Linked DNA regions of Oryctolagus cuniculus. The protein of the gene in region 1 purifies or fractionates together with the protein of each later gene. This does not show direct contact. Links are inferred from orthologs where the notes say so. Each region holds a gene or a part of one and is shown in the gene's direction. Other genes may lie near its edges.

Region 1 (4,348 bases):
CCGCTGAAGCGGGGAGGGGTGGCCCAGGTGGAGAAGGGGGGGAGAGCCCCTGTGTAAGGGGGGCTGGGGAGGAGCTGTCTGGGCTTCGGGAGTCTGAGGGAGGGGCACAGACAGAGACACACAGACAGGAGAGATAAAAAAAGAGAGAGAGAGAGAGAATGAGTGTTCCATCATCCAACTGAAGACTTTAATTCTCTAATCCCGCATCGCACCCAACCCACCCCATCCCGCTCCACACGCCCTAAATGTGATGAGCAGAGAGGGGGAAAATCCAATCAATGCATCTGAATGAAAACCAGGTCACCCAAGCCAGACCTGTCTCGCGGGTGGGGGCAGCACGTGGAGCGGCCACAGCGAGCGGGGGAAAGACACAGGCGGAAGAGACCCTTCCGAGGACGCAGGATGCGCCTTTAAACGTTTGCCCAGGGTTCTCAAGCCCAGGGGGAAGCGCGTTCTTCCCGCGCCCGGGCCCGCCCGCGTGCTGGGCCTCGAGCGGCCGCGGCCAGAAGGGCGGAAGCTCCCCCTCCCCGCCCCGCCCCGGGGGGAGGGCGCTGAGGCCCTCGGCGGGGAGAGGACGCGTGTTTACAAACAAGGGGGCGGGAGCGCCAGGGAACGAGCGCCGGAGGAGGGGGTGGGGTGGGGTTGCAGATAACGCGGTCACTGGCTCGCCCGCCCGTCCGCTAGGACACTCACCCCGCCCGCTGTCGCCCATCCCGTCCCGTCCAGCCTCCCCCGGCTCCGGCTCCGGGGTTTGTTGTTCTCCGGCTGCTACTGCCGCCGCCGCCGCCGCCGCCGCCGCCGGATCCAGCCAGGGCCGTCGCCGCCGCCACCGGGACGCGACCCCACAATGCATTTCTTTTCGCACCCCCACCGGCCCACACTGCCCTGCGGCATGCCGCTCGGGGAGGAAGGGCGGGCGAGCGGCCCAAGACATGGTCCCCGGCTGAGTGTAGGGATGAAGAGGAGGTGCCAGGGGCTCCCCAGGTGTGGTCGAGGGACTAACTGAGCACGAGTAAGTCCCAGAGGAAAAAGACTCTGGCCTGAACTGGATCGGATTAGGCGCTTCCCTCTTCTGTGTACCAAAATGACAGCGCCGATGTGGCAGCCATCTTTGTGCAAACGGGAAGTCTCGTCGCTAGTTCCCGCCCCCTCGTCTAGTTGGAAACGGAGGAGGCGGGCTCCTCTGGCGGGTTAGCACTCCTCGCCCGCCCTCCCCGCGAATAACCTCCACTCGTGCGCGTGCGCGTCAGGCCTGGGCGGCTTCGCGGCTGCCGGGGTGCTGGGTGCCGCCATATTGGTAAAGGTACCGGGGGAGCTTCCCTCTTCTCGCGGGAGCTGGAGGCGTGACTGCCACGTCCGAGCAAACCGCGAAAGGAGAGGACTCCGCAGCCGGTGAGAATTCCTGCCTTTCTCTGTGTCCCTTTCAGGCCTTTTCCCCATCTAGTGAGTCAGGGAGGAAGGGCCCAGAGAGACTGTAACGTGACACATGAAAGCCTAGAGCGGTGTCCTGGGGGGCCCTCCATCCGGGAGTGGTGTCGGAATAAAGAAGAACGAGCCTTGGGAACACTGTGGGGTGGGGGCAGAATGGAGTGGGGGAGCGGCCCATAGAGGTGGACGGAGGGCGCGAGCGGAATAAAACGGACCCCAGTAGGTCGAGTGAAGTCACTGTCTCTGTCCCTCTGGTCAGCGTGATGGCCAGAGGCCTGGGGGCCCCCCACTGGGTGGCCATGGGGCTGCTGACCTGGGCAGCCTTGGGTCTGCTGGTGGCTGGACACGGGGGTCATGGCGACCAGCACGAGGACCTGCAAGAGGACTTCCATGGCCACAGCCACAGGCATTCACATGAGGATTTCCACCATGGACACAGCCATGCCCATGGCCATGGCCACGGCCACGGCCACACTCACGAAAGCATCTGGCATGGGCATACCCACGGTCACGACCATGGACATTCACATGAGGATTTGCACCATGGCCATAGCCATTCCCATGGCCACTCCCATGAGAGCCTCTACCACAGAGGACATGGACATGACCATGAGCATAGCCGTGGAGGCTATGGGGAGTCTGGGGCTCCAGGCATCAAGCAGGACCTGGACACTGTCACTCTCTGGGCCTATGTGAGTCCCCAGGGGCCGGGGGAGAGAGGGGCTGGTTCTTGCTTGTTGGGAAACCACCCAGCGCTTGACCACCTGATTCTTCCCCACCAGGCACTGGGGGCCACAGTGCTGATATCTGCAGCGCCGTTTTTCTTCCTCTTCCTTATCCCTGTGGAGTCAAACTCCCCCCGCCATAGTTCTCTGCTGCAAATCTTGTTAAGCTTTGCTTCTGGCGGACTCCTGGGAGATGCTTTCCTGCACCTCATCCCTCATGCCTTGGGTAAGTTACCTCTGATTTTACCTTAAATATTAACCTATTCCATTCTTTGGGGAAAAGAGTGACCTTCCAGTATTCCCCCTTTGAGTCAGGTACCCCCTCATCTGTTGTTTTTTTTTTTGCTCCCCTCGTCCCCCGGCTTCCTCCAGAACCTCACTCTCACCACACGGTGGAGCAGCGCGGACATGGACACTCACACAGTGGTGAGGAAGAGACGGCCGAGACCTGGGTCGGAGTGCTGGGGAAGGTCTCCCTCCTCTGCACCTGCACTCGAGGAGGAGATGTCTGGAATCTGCGGCTCCCTTCATGTCCCAATGCTTCCTTCCCAGGCCAAGGCCCCATCCTGTCTGTGGGACTGTGGGTTCTCAGCGGAATTGTCGCTTTCCTTGTGGTGGAGAAGTTCGTGAGGCATGTGAAAGGAGGACATGGACACAGCCATGGGCACGGACACACTCACGGTCACGGTCACGGGAGTCACGGACGTGCGAGGCAGGGTGAGCCCTGGGCCAGCTTTCCTTAAAGCTACCCTGCCTGCCTCAGCGTCCTCACACCTTATGGCTGTCAGGCGGGAGGACGCGCCAGGAGACCCTGACCAACTCCCTTCTCCCTCAGAGTGCCCTCCAAAGGAGAAGCAGAGCTCAGAGGAAGAAGAAAAGGAAGGAGGGGTGTTGCGGAAGAGGAAAGGAGGAAGCACGGGGCCCAAAGATGGGTCAGTGGGAGCTCAGAACCCTGAGGAAGAAAAAACAGGCTCAGGTGAGGGTCGGGGTCGGGGAGAAGCCTGGGCAGGGGGACCATCGTGGCTCACACAGAATGTGTGTGTGGGTGATGACAGGCGTCAGGGAAACACCAAGGGGCTGGCAGTGGGTCACACAGAATACACGTGCAGGTGGTGACAGGTGTTGGGGAAACCCCAAGGGGTGAAGTGGTCTCTGAGCCGTGGTGTGAGAAGTCTGACTGGGATAGGGGCGATGGATGTTCTGGTCATTTTGTCTGCCTCTCCCGTACAGATCTGCGTGTGTCCGGGTACTTGAATCTGGCTGCTGACTTGGCACACAACTTCACAGATGGCCTGGCCATTGGTGCTTCCTTTCGAGGGGGCCAGGGGCTGGGGATTCTGACCACAATGACCGTCCTGCTGCATGAAGTGCCCCATGAGGTCGGGGATTTTGCCATCTTGGTCCAGTCTGGCTGCAGCAAAAAGCAGGTTGGTGGTGATGTCCATCAAAGACAGTGGTCTCAAATCCTTTATCACTGCTCGTTTACTCCCGACCCAGACTCCTTCTCATTAGTTCCAAACGAGTTGTACTGTCATCAACAGATCCGCTAGAGTTGAGGGGAGAAAAGCTCTGTTTTCTTTGTCCTATGCCTCAGTATTTCTTGAACTGTCAGATGATTTATGGGGACCTAACAAACACACACACATACACACTCATTGCTGCTGAATCAGACCTTAGAAAGTCTGTGGAAAGAACCTCTTTGAACCTTTAAGATTTTTGAAGAAATATTTATTCTAGACAAACCACACACCCCCTTTTTTCTTTGACTTTTGGTTTTCTACCCCTGTAGTTCAACAGCCATATATTGAAACTGCTATAACCTTTAGTTATTGATAAGTGCCTCTCTCTGCTTTCCACCAGGCGATGCGTCTACAACTACTGACAGCAGTGGGGGCACTGGCAGGCACAGCCTGTGCCCTTCTAACCGAAGGAGGGGCAGTGGGCAGTGATGGTGCGGGAGGCGCAGGTCCTGGCTGGATTCTGCCGTTCACCGCAGGCGGTTTTATCTATGTAGCAACAGTGTCCGTGTTGCCTGAGCTGTTGAGGGAGGCGTCACCATTACAGTCACTTCTGGAGGTGCTGGGGCTGCTGGGTGGTGTTGTCATGATGGTGCTGATTGCCCACCTCGAGTGAGAGGTGAGATGAACTGCCCCCACCCCCTGCTCTAAACCTCTTCCCCTAACTCCAGGTCAGAG
Region 2 (3,959 bases), on another chromosome or scaffold:
TATATGGCTGAGGAGCTAAGAAGCCACTTGGGGCACCTTCTCATACCTGACTGCCTGGTTTCAAGTCTCAAATCTGCTCCCAGTTTCAGCTTCCTGATAATACCCAGGGAGGCAGCAGGAGATGGCTCAATCATTTGGTCCCTATCAACAGCATGGGAGACCTGAATTGAATTTCTAGCGCCTTTCATTTACCTGGGTCAGGCCCAGCCACTGCAGGCGTTGAGTGAACCAGAAGATGGGGGATTTCTCTCTCTGTTTTGTGCTTCTCTCTGCCACTCAAATAAATAAAAAATAAAAGAAATTTTCAAGACCAAGTTATACTTCATGCTGCCTCATTTTTCTATTTCTGTTTTGCATTAACTCTTCCATTGGTTAGATTTCTAACTTTGAATACTGTGACTACAACCACTGTTTTCTCTTTCTTTATCTTTAACTTGATATATTGATAGATCTATAGTTAGTGACTGGTGGAGGTTATGTTAGTTTTTGTCCTGATTTAGTAATATTTTATATATTTCAGTCACCAAAACCAAGTGTTAGTATGTATTGCAAAAATTCCAATAGATCTGTTTGTGAGAAACATTTTCTTATGTGTAGCATTGAGGTTGTTGAATTGGAAGGAAATCAGGCCTTGACTTCAGGGTCATGGTTTTGGATCACTGAGCTGAAAATCACTAAGAACCTCAAACATATTTAAGAATCATCTTAATCAGTAGGACAATGTGCTAAAAAGTGGTTTTACAGTGGTGAATAAAACAGGCATGGTTGTTAACCTAGTGGAATTTAGTGGAAGAGACAGGGAAATGAATGCCCACATAAACATCATATGAATGCAAATGGAGATAAAGTACAAGCTATTTGAGAGCTAGAAAGAAGAGGTGCCAGGACAATTGGCAGAGAAGAAAATATTTCAGAAGACATTGATATCATACAAACATGTAGAAATAGGTTCTGTTTCAAGAATTATAGGTGATTTTAGTTGGTAAGTTTTTTTTATATTCCTGAAATATAACCATTCTGGTTTTAAGTGCCTCCTTTTTCAGGAACACAGGGATAGTTTATTTTTAATTTGCAAATAAGCTAACAATCACTTATATTAAAATATTTATTAACTTGTTCTTTTTTATAGGATGAGGAGAAGAAATCGAAAGACAAGAAGATATGGTGTTTTGGACACTAACATAGGAAACATGGAATTGACACCTTTAGAACAAGATGATGAGGATGAGGATAACACATTGTTTGATGCCAATCATCCTCGAAGGTAAGCGATCAGTAGTTTAGTTACACGAATCAGGAAGAAGAAAAGCATGGCAAATAAATTGAAGAAGTAAAACAGTTTTTATTCTAGCAGATTTTATCCAATTCTCTTTCATGAAGTCCTTTGTACTTACTTATCCAATACCTTATATTCGTGATACTGCACTGACATAAGTAAACAATAGAGTACCATCCCCTGAAGAAATCTCCATTGAAGATCTCACTGCAGCTTTGCTTTTTAACTTCTTCATCCCTGTGATATATATTAACTCATATGTGTGTGCCAGAGTGTGTGTGTGTGAAATGTTTAGCACACTTGACTTTCTTTTTGTATTCTGAAGATTTTGTTGTTGTTGTAGTTTGAGTTATTGTATTTACATGCAGTATTACTCAGCAGAATTATAGGGCTGATAGTTTATATGGTCTGATAATGAAGTTACATTGTTTACAATCAGATCTATGTTCCCTGAGTGTTAAGACCTTTTCTAAGTGGTTTGGAGAAACATAATTACATGGATAGAGAATTAATTCCAATGTAAACAGAGTCAGGGAAAAGAGGCAACAAAGATTCCAGTCAATAAGGAAAGACTTGTTAGGTAAAGGAAAATTAGAGTCCATTATCAAGTATAAATACAAACAATACAGAAATCCTGAGATTACAAACAACAACAATGATATTAAATTAGATATATATGTATATATGTACATATATATATACAAGTAATGTATTATCACTATTGCTAAAGCAATGTACATATACAGAGATATATAGATATATATGTTTATAGAATATATGTTTAATTTTATTTTTAAAATAGTTTCAGTACATATATTTGTATATATATATATGTATAAAGGAGCTTTTATGATTGCTGGTAATTCATTCATTTAATAAAATATAATAATTGTGAAGTGCCAATTATGCAATTATAAGCATTCGAGCCTTGGTAAGCAACCTGAACAAACAGCTGTATCTGTTCCTAAGGGACTCAGTTTCTTAGCGAAAACACACATGAATAAGATGCATAAATTAAAAAATTTATAACATTTGATTTTATGCCCTGGAAAAAAATAATTGTCTATAACTTTTGTATGGTTTTAAGTAAGTGTAATATTACCAGTTGTTGACTGTGTTTTAGGAGTGAACCAGATAAAACTGCTGATTTGAATTTAAGAACATTGTATGTAGCAGACATTTATCTTTCTGTGTTAGAATTACAGGAAGAATAATGTGGAGAACAATTGAAAACTGAGCTTGACTGGGAGAATAGCACATGATGTATCTCATCTTGGGTTCACTGTGAGAATGTGCTTATTTAGCAGGATGGCAGTGGAATCTGATCACTTGTATATTACAATTACTAATTTAAATTTTTGATAAAGATACTGTATTAAGGCATCTCCTATTTATATACATAGAAAAGAAAGAAAAGGAAGTTATTAATCTAGGAACTCAGCATTGTCACCAAAGAAGAATTGAATTTGAACCCCAGTCCATATATTTCTAACATGGCTGATTACAAACAAAGATTGTTTTAGACAGAAGCAACCACCCACATTTTAATAGTTGTGAAAGGTGATACTTTGGGGAATTCAAGCCACTTAGATTATCTAAAACACAATTTGTTGTGTGAACTTATGTATTTATATATGTGAGATTGGGAGGTAGGAGAATCCAAAAAGAATTGGAACAGGTAGGTTCAAAAATGCTAGCAGTTTCCATGAGATATAATTACTTATGACTATCTTTCATTCTGTATCCTGACTCATCACAGGCCTTCCCCCATTACTTATTCTTCTTTTGTGCCCCATGTTTCATAAATTGCGCATTCCATTAGGGATCTAAACACTACTCAGTTACATCAATAATGAAGCATTAAGCATAAGGTGGTATGAGAACATTTGGAGGGTACATAGGACACTTCACCAAGAAAGTGATGTTTAAACTGAGAACTGAAAGATGACTAGAAATTAGCAATGTGAAAGTCAATATAGGGGCAAGGTTTGGAGACAGGAGAGACACAAAGTATTGGGATAAAGAGAATATAGAGAATTCAAAGAACTAAAAGAAATTAAATAGATGCTATATCAATTTTTGTGTGAATAAATCACTTATTTTTGATTTCTGGATACAGAAGATTGATTGATACATAAGGCAGAACAAGGAGTCAGAAGGCGAATCATGTGGTGGTGATGTCGGGAAAATAACAGACTAAGATGTCCCAGCTCATCTCTCCTCATAAAAGCAATGGTATAGCAGCAATCTACCTATTAAAGTAACTATGGGAGGGCCGGTGCCGCGGCTCAATAGGCTAATCTTCCACCTGCGGCGCTGGCACACCGGGTTCTAGTCCCGGTCGGGGTGCCAGATTCTGTCCTGGTTGCTCCTCTTCCAGTCCAGCTCTCTGCTGTGGCCCGGAAGTGTAGTGGAGAATGGCCCAAGTGCTTGGGCCCTGCACCTGACCCGCATGGGAGACCAGGAGAAGCTCCTGGCTCCCGGCTTCGGATCAGCGTGGTGTGCCGGCTGCAGTGCGCCGGCCGCAGCAGCCATTGTGGGGTGAACCATCAGAAAAGGAAGACCTTTCTCTCTGTCTCTTTCTCTCACTGTCCACTCTGCCTGTCAAAAAAAAAAAGGTAACTATGGGAGAACTTCTGAATATGACGAAAAAGCTAAAGCAAAGCAGTGGAACACAAAAAAC
Region 3 (3,959 bases), on another chromosome or scaffold:
GACTCCCAAACCTCAACTCAACACCCCCGTCTGTGGTCCGTGGCTGTTTTGTGATGGTTGGGGTTGGCAGGGTGAGGGTCCCCAGTCACGGGAGGCAGTTGGGGCTGGGGTCTTTGGTCTCTGACGATTTTTTGGCCCCCAGGAAGCATACGTGATGGCAGGGGTGGGCTCCCCCTATGTGTCCCGCCTCCTGGGCATCTGCTTGACGTCCACGGTGCAGCTGGTGACACAGCTGATGCCCTACGGCTGCCTCCTGGACCATGTCCGTGAACACCGCGGGCGCCTGGGCTCCCAGGACTTACTGAACTGGTGTGTGCAAATTGCCAAGGTATGCACTTAGGGGCAGGGCCTGGGCTCTGTGGGCCCCTGGGGAGCAAGCCCCTCTCTCCACAGGGCTAGGGTGGGTGCATTTCCCGGGCATGGGGCCAGTCCGAGCCCCACGCAGAGGCCCCACACCAGTGCCTCCCATTGCAGGGGATGAGCTACTTGGAAGACGTGCGGCTCGTGCACAGGGACCTGGCTGCACGGAACGTGCTGGTCAAGAGCCCCAACCACGTCAAGATCACAGACTTCGGGCTGGCTCGGCTGCTGGACATTGACGAGACAGAGTACCACGCGGACGGGGGCAAGGTCAGAGGCGCGAGCAAGCTGAGGCTGGGTGGGGTGGGGCCCAGCCCCAGGAGAATTCTGGGAACGGCAGCCTCCCGCCACATCCGATTGGAGGACTTCCTCCTCTGCCCTCCCAGGTGCCCATCAAGTGGATGGCGTTGGAGTCCATTCTCCGCCGGCGGTTCACCCACCAGAGTGATGTGTGGAGCTACGGTGCGTGGCGGTGGGGGGGGCGCTGGATGAGGACCTGTGCGGGTGCTGGGATGGGGAGGACTAGGAGGAACCTTAGTGGGTGCACGTGTGTGTCGTGGGGGAGGCAAGGGCTGCCCGGGCCCACTTTCTAGGCACTGAGGAAGGACCGGGTAGATCCGGACCCTCGACGTCACATCTCCAACTCGCATGGCGGTGCCAGGCTGCTGGGCAGAGCTGCAGGGCTCAGGACACTGACGCTCCCTCTGGTCCCCCGTCTCTGTCCTAGGGGTGACTGTGTGGGAGCTGATGACTTTTGGGGCCAAACCTTACGATGGGATCCCAGCCCGGGAAATCCCTGACCTGCTGGAGAAGGGGGAGCGGCTGCCCCAGCCCCCCATCTGCACCATCGACGTCTACATGATCATGGTCAAATGTGGGTGGCTGAGCTGGGCTGGCTGCCTGGAGGCGGGCTGGGAGGTCCTGGGTGGAGGGGCCCACGGGGGGGACTGGGAGGAGGCTGGGAACCAGATGTTAGTGGGCCCAGGGGATTTGGTATAGTTACAGGAGCCCCCAAAGCGTCTGGTATCCCTTCTATAGAAGTCTGGGGAGTTACATGCAAGTTAAGAGGGGAACCTAGAAGGGGTGCCCAGAGATCCTGGCTCCAGACCAGAGAGCCGGTCCCAGGCTGTCAGTCAGGGTTGTCTGGGCCAGGGGGGAGCTGGGTCGGGGTTCCCAGGGAGGCAGCCAGCACACTGGGGGGACCGGGACCGGGACCTGAGCTTGCTCCCGCCCCAGGTTGGATGATTGACTCGGAATGCCGGCCCAGATTCCGGGAGTTGGTGGCTGAATTCTCCCGCATGGCCAGGGACCCCCAGCGCTTTGTGGTCATCCAGGTACTGGGCCTTCCTGCCCTGTCCCGACCCACCTCTCCTGCAGGGGTTGGGGATGAGGACCCCGAGCCCAGCCCCCGCCTCTTGCCCTCTGTGAAGCCGGGCTGGGGAGGGGCTGCCACGCTGTGCCTGCCTCCTCCCCAGAATGAGGACCTGGGCCCCGCCAGCCCATTGGACAGCACCTTCTACCGCTCGCTGCTGGAGGATGACGACATGGGGGACCTGGTGGACGCTGAGGAGTACCTGGTGCCCCAGCAGGGCTTCTTCTGCCCAGACCCTGCTCCGGGCGCTGGGGGTACAGCCCACCGCAGGCACCGCAGCTCGTCCACCCGGGTCAGTGCCTCGGTCACACTGCGGGCTGTGCTTGCTCCCCTCTCCGCCCCAGGGAACCAAGTCCCCCTTGGATGTTCCCCCACCCCCTCCCTCATGGAGACCCCATTCTCCCTAGGGGCGACGCTTATTGCCCTCCAACCCGTGACCCCATCCTCTCTGTGGCGACTGTGTCATGCCCCGGGACCCAGTCACTTCTCATGGGGTGTCCACCCCAGGTCATGACCTTCTCTCCTGTCCCCAGAGTGGTGGCGGTGAGCTGCCGTTGGGGCTGGAGCCCACCGAAGAGGAGCCCCCCAGGTCTCCACTGGCCCCCTCAGAAGGGGCTGGCTCCGACGTATTCGATGGCGACCTGGGGATGGGGGCAGCCAAGGGGCTGCAGAGCCTCCCGCCACACGACCCCAACCCTCTGCAACGGTACAGTGAGGACCCCACAGGACCCCTGCCCCCGGACACTGACGGCTACGTTGCCCCCCTGACCTGCAGCCCCCAGCCCGGTATGGATTCCAGGCCTGAGTGGAGATCGGGTGGGCGGGGGATACGCTGGGGCCCCTGGGATCCTTTCCTGAGTCCTCTCTCGCCCTTTCAGAGTATGTGAACCAGCCAGAGGTCCGGCCGCAGCCCCCCTCGCCCCTGGAGGGCCCTGCACCGCCTGCCCGGCCAGCCGGGGCCACCCTGGAAAGGCCCAAGACTCTCTCCCCCGGGAAGAATGGGGTTGTCAAAGACGTTTTTGCCTTTGGGGGTGCCGTGGAGAACCCCGAGTACTTGGCACCCCGGGGAGGGGCTGCCCCTCAGCCCCACTCTCCTCCTGCCTTCAGCCCAGCCTTTGACAACCTCTATTATTGGGACCAGGACCCAGCAGAGCGGGGGTCCCCACCCAGCACCTTTGAAGGGACCCCTACGGCAGAGAACCCCGAGTACCTGGGCCTGGACGTGCCGGTGTGAGCCACAGGCCGAGCGTGCGGAAGCCCTGCTGTGCCCTCAGGGAGTGGGGAGCCCTGACTTCTGCCCACATCACAACGAGGCAAGGACAGGGCCCTGGACCACACCCCGGGCAGCCTGCGCCGTGCCAGGAGCCCGTGCTGAGGATCTCCCTGCCTGCTGAGTTCCAGTGGCTGAGAAGGGCCCGCCCTGGGAAGTGCTGGTGGACCCTGGAGCCCCGCACCGCCAGGTTCTAGGGTGCAGGGGGCCACAGCCACAGCCTCCTCACGCGAGGCAGCAGCTTGGCACCGAAGGGCTGAGCGAAGCTGGGCCCAGGAGGGGGGGCGTGTGCCAGACACGAGCCACCCATGCAGGCTCTCCCTCAGGCTCGGTGCTGCCCCCGGGAGAAGGGGCCGGCACCAGCAGCCAGACCCCATCCTTGTACAGAGTGCTTTTCTTGTTTTGTTTTTACTTGTTTTTTAAAAGATGAAATAAGGACCCAGGGAACAGGGGGAGTTGTATGGAGGAGGGGTCCTCCCTCCACACCCACTTTCTCCACTTGCAAATATATTTTGGAAAACAGCTGACACTAGCTCATGCCAGGGTGGGGGTGATACTCCGTGCCATCCCTGCAGCTCACCCAACAGTCAGCTCCTCTCTTCCTGGTGGGCGTGGCTGCAAGTCTTGAGAAAGCAAGGACCGACCAGGAGCCTGCTGTCCTGGAGCCTGGCTTTTGGATAGGGGGCATCGGAAAGTTGGGATTCTGATCCGAAGACCCTTTGACAACCCGATGATTCTTGCTTAGGACAAACTAACTGCTCAGGCCACTCCACCAGAATGGGGCGGTTTTCTGCTTCTGGGTGAGGGGAGTGGATGATGGGGGGGGGGGGGAGGCAGTATCTACTGTGTTACTCACTTTCCCAAGAAAAAGCCCACCCACCAGGTGGTGCAAAGGCCCAGCTGCCCTCTGTGCCCCAGCGCTCGCTCCCAAGGCTGAACGTAAACGCACGCTCGCTG

Evidence for each region. The genes of interacting proteins can lie anywhere in the genome.
Region 2: the proteins of SLC39A7 (region 1) and FAM174A purify together in Homo sapiens (co-immunoprecipitation; 3 studies listed by BioGRID and IntAct, with this or other methods). This does not show direct contact. The link is inferred for Oryctolagus cuniculus from reciprocal best matches to the Homo sapiens genes SLC39A7 and FAM174A.
Region 3: the proteins of SLC39A7 (region 1) and ERBB2 purify together in Homo sapiens (affinity purification with mass spectrometry; 3 studies listed by BioGRID and IntAct, with this or other methods). This does not show direct contact. The link is inferred for Oryctolagus cuniculus from reciprocal best matches to the Homo sapiens genes SLC39A7 and ERBB2.

The regions. Positions count from the first base shown.
Region 1 is NC_091436.1:135,903,453-135,907,800, reverse strand, and holds the start of SLC39A7 (zinc transporter SLC39A7), read left to right. Parts: upstream 1-1,224; 5' UTR 1,225-1,392; intron 1,393-1,687; 5' UTR 1,688-1,691; coding exon 1,692-2,120; intron 2,121-2,210; coding exon 2,211-2,379; intron 2,380-2,525; coding exon 2,526-2,579; intron 2,580-2,705; coding exon 2,706-2,870; intron 2,871-2,988; coding exon 2,989-3,129; intron 3,130-3,383; coding exon 3,384-3,580; intron 3,581-4,013; coding exon 4,014-4,286; 3' UTR 4,287-4,348. Other genes in the region: RXRB (retinoic acid receptor RXR-beta), read right to left, coding at 1-93, 694-934. UniProt on the Homo sapiens protein: Transports Zn(2+) from the endoplasmic reticulum (ER)/Golgi apparatus to the cytosol, playing an essential role in the regulation of cytosolic zinc levels.
Region 2 is NC_091445.1:23,050,406-23,054,364, forward strand, and holds part of FAM174A (membrane protein FAM174A), read left to right. Parts: intron 1-1,129; coding exon 1,130-1,264; coding exon of another isoform or gene 1,265-1,268; intron 1,269-3,959.
Region 3 is NC_091448.1:22,670,513-22,674,471, reverse strand, and holds the end of ERBB2 (receptor tyrosine-protein kinase erbB-2), read left to right. Parts: intron 1-142; coding exon 143-328; intron 329-474; coding exon 475-630; intron 631-746; coding exon 747-822; intron 823-1,087; coding exon 1,088-1,234; intron 1,235-1,596; coding exon 1,597-1,694; intron 1,695-1,835; coding exon 1,836-2,024; intron 2,025-2,265; coding exon 2,266-2,518; intron 2,519-2,610; coding exon 2,611-2,966; 3' UTR 2,967-3,524; downstream 3,525-3,959. UniProt on the Homo sapiens protein: Protein tyrosine kinase that is part of several cell surface receptor complexes, but that apparently needs a coreceptor for ligand binding. Essential component of a neuregulin-receptor complex, although neuregulins do not interact with it alone.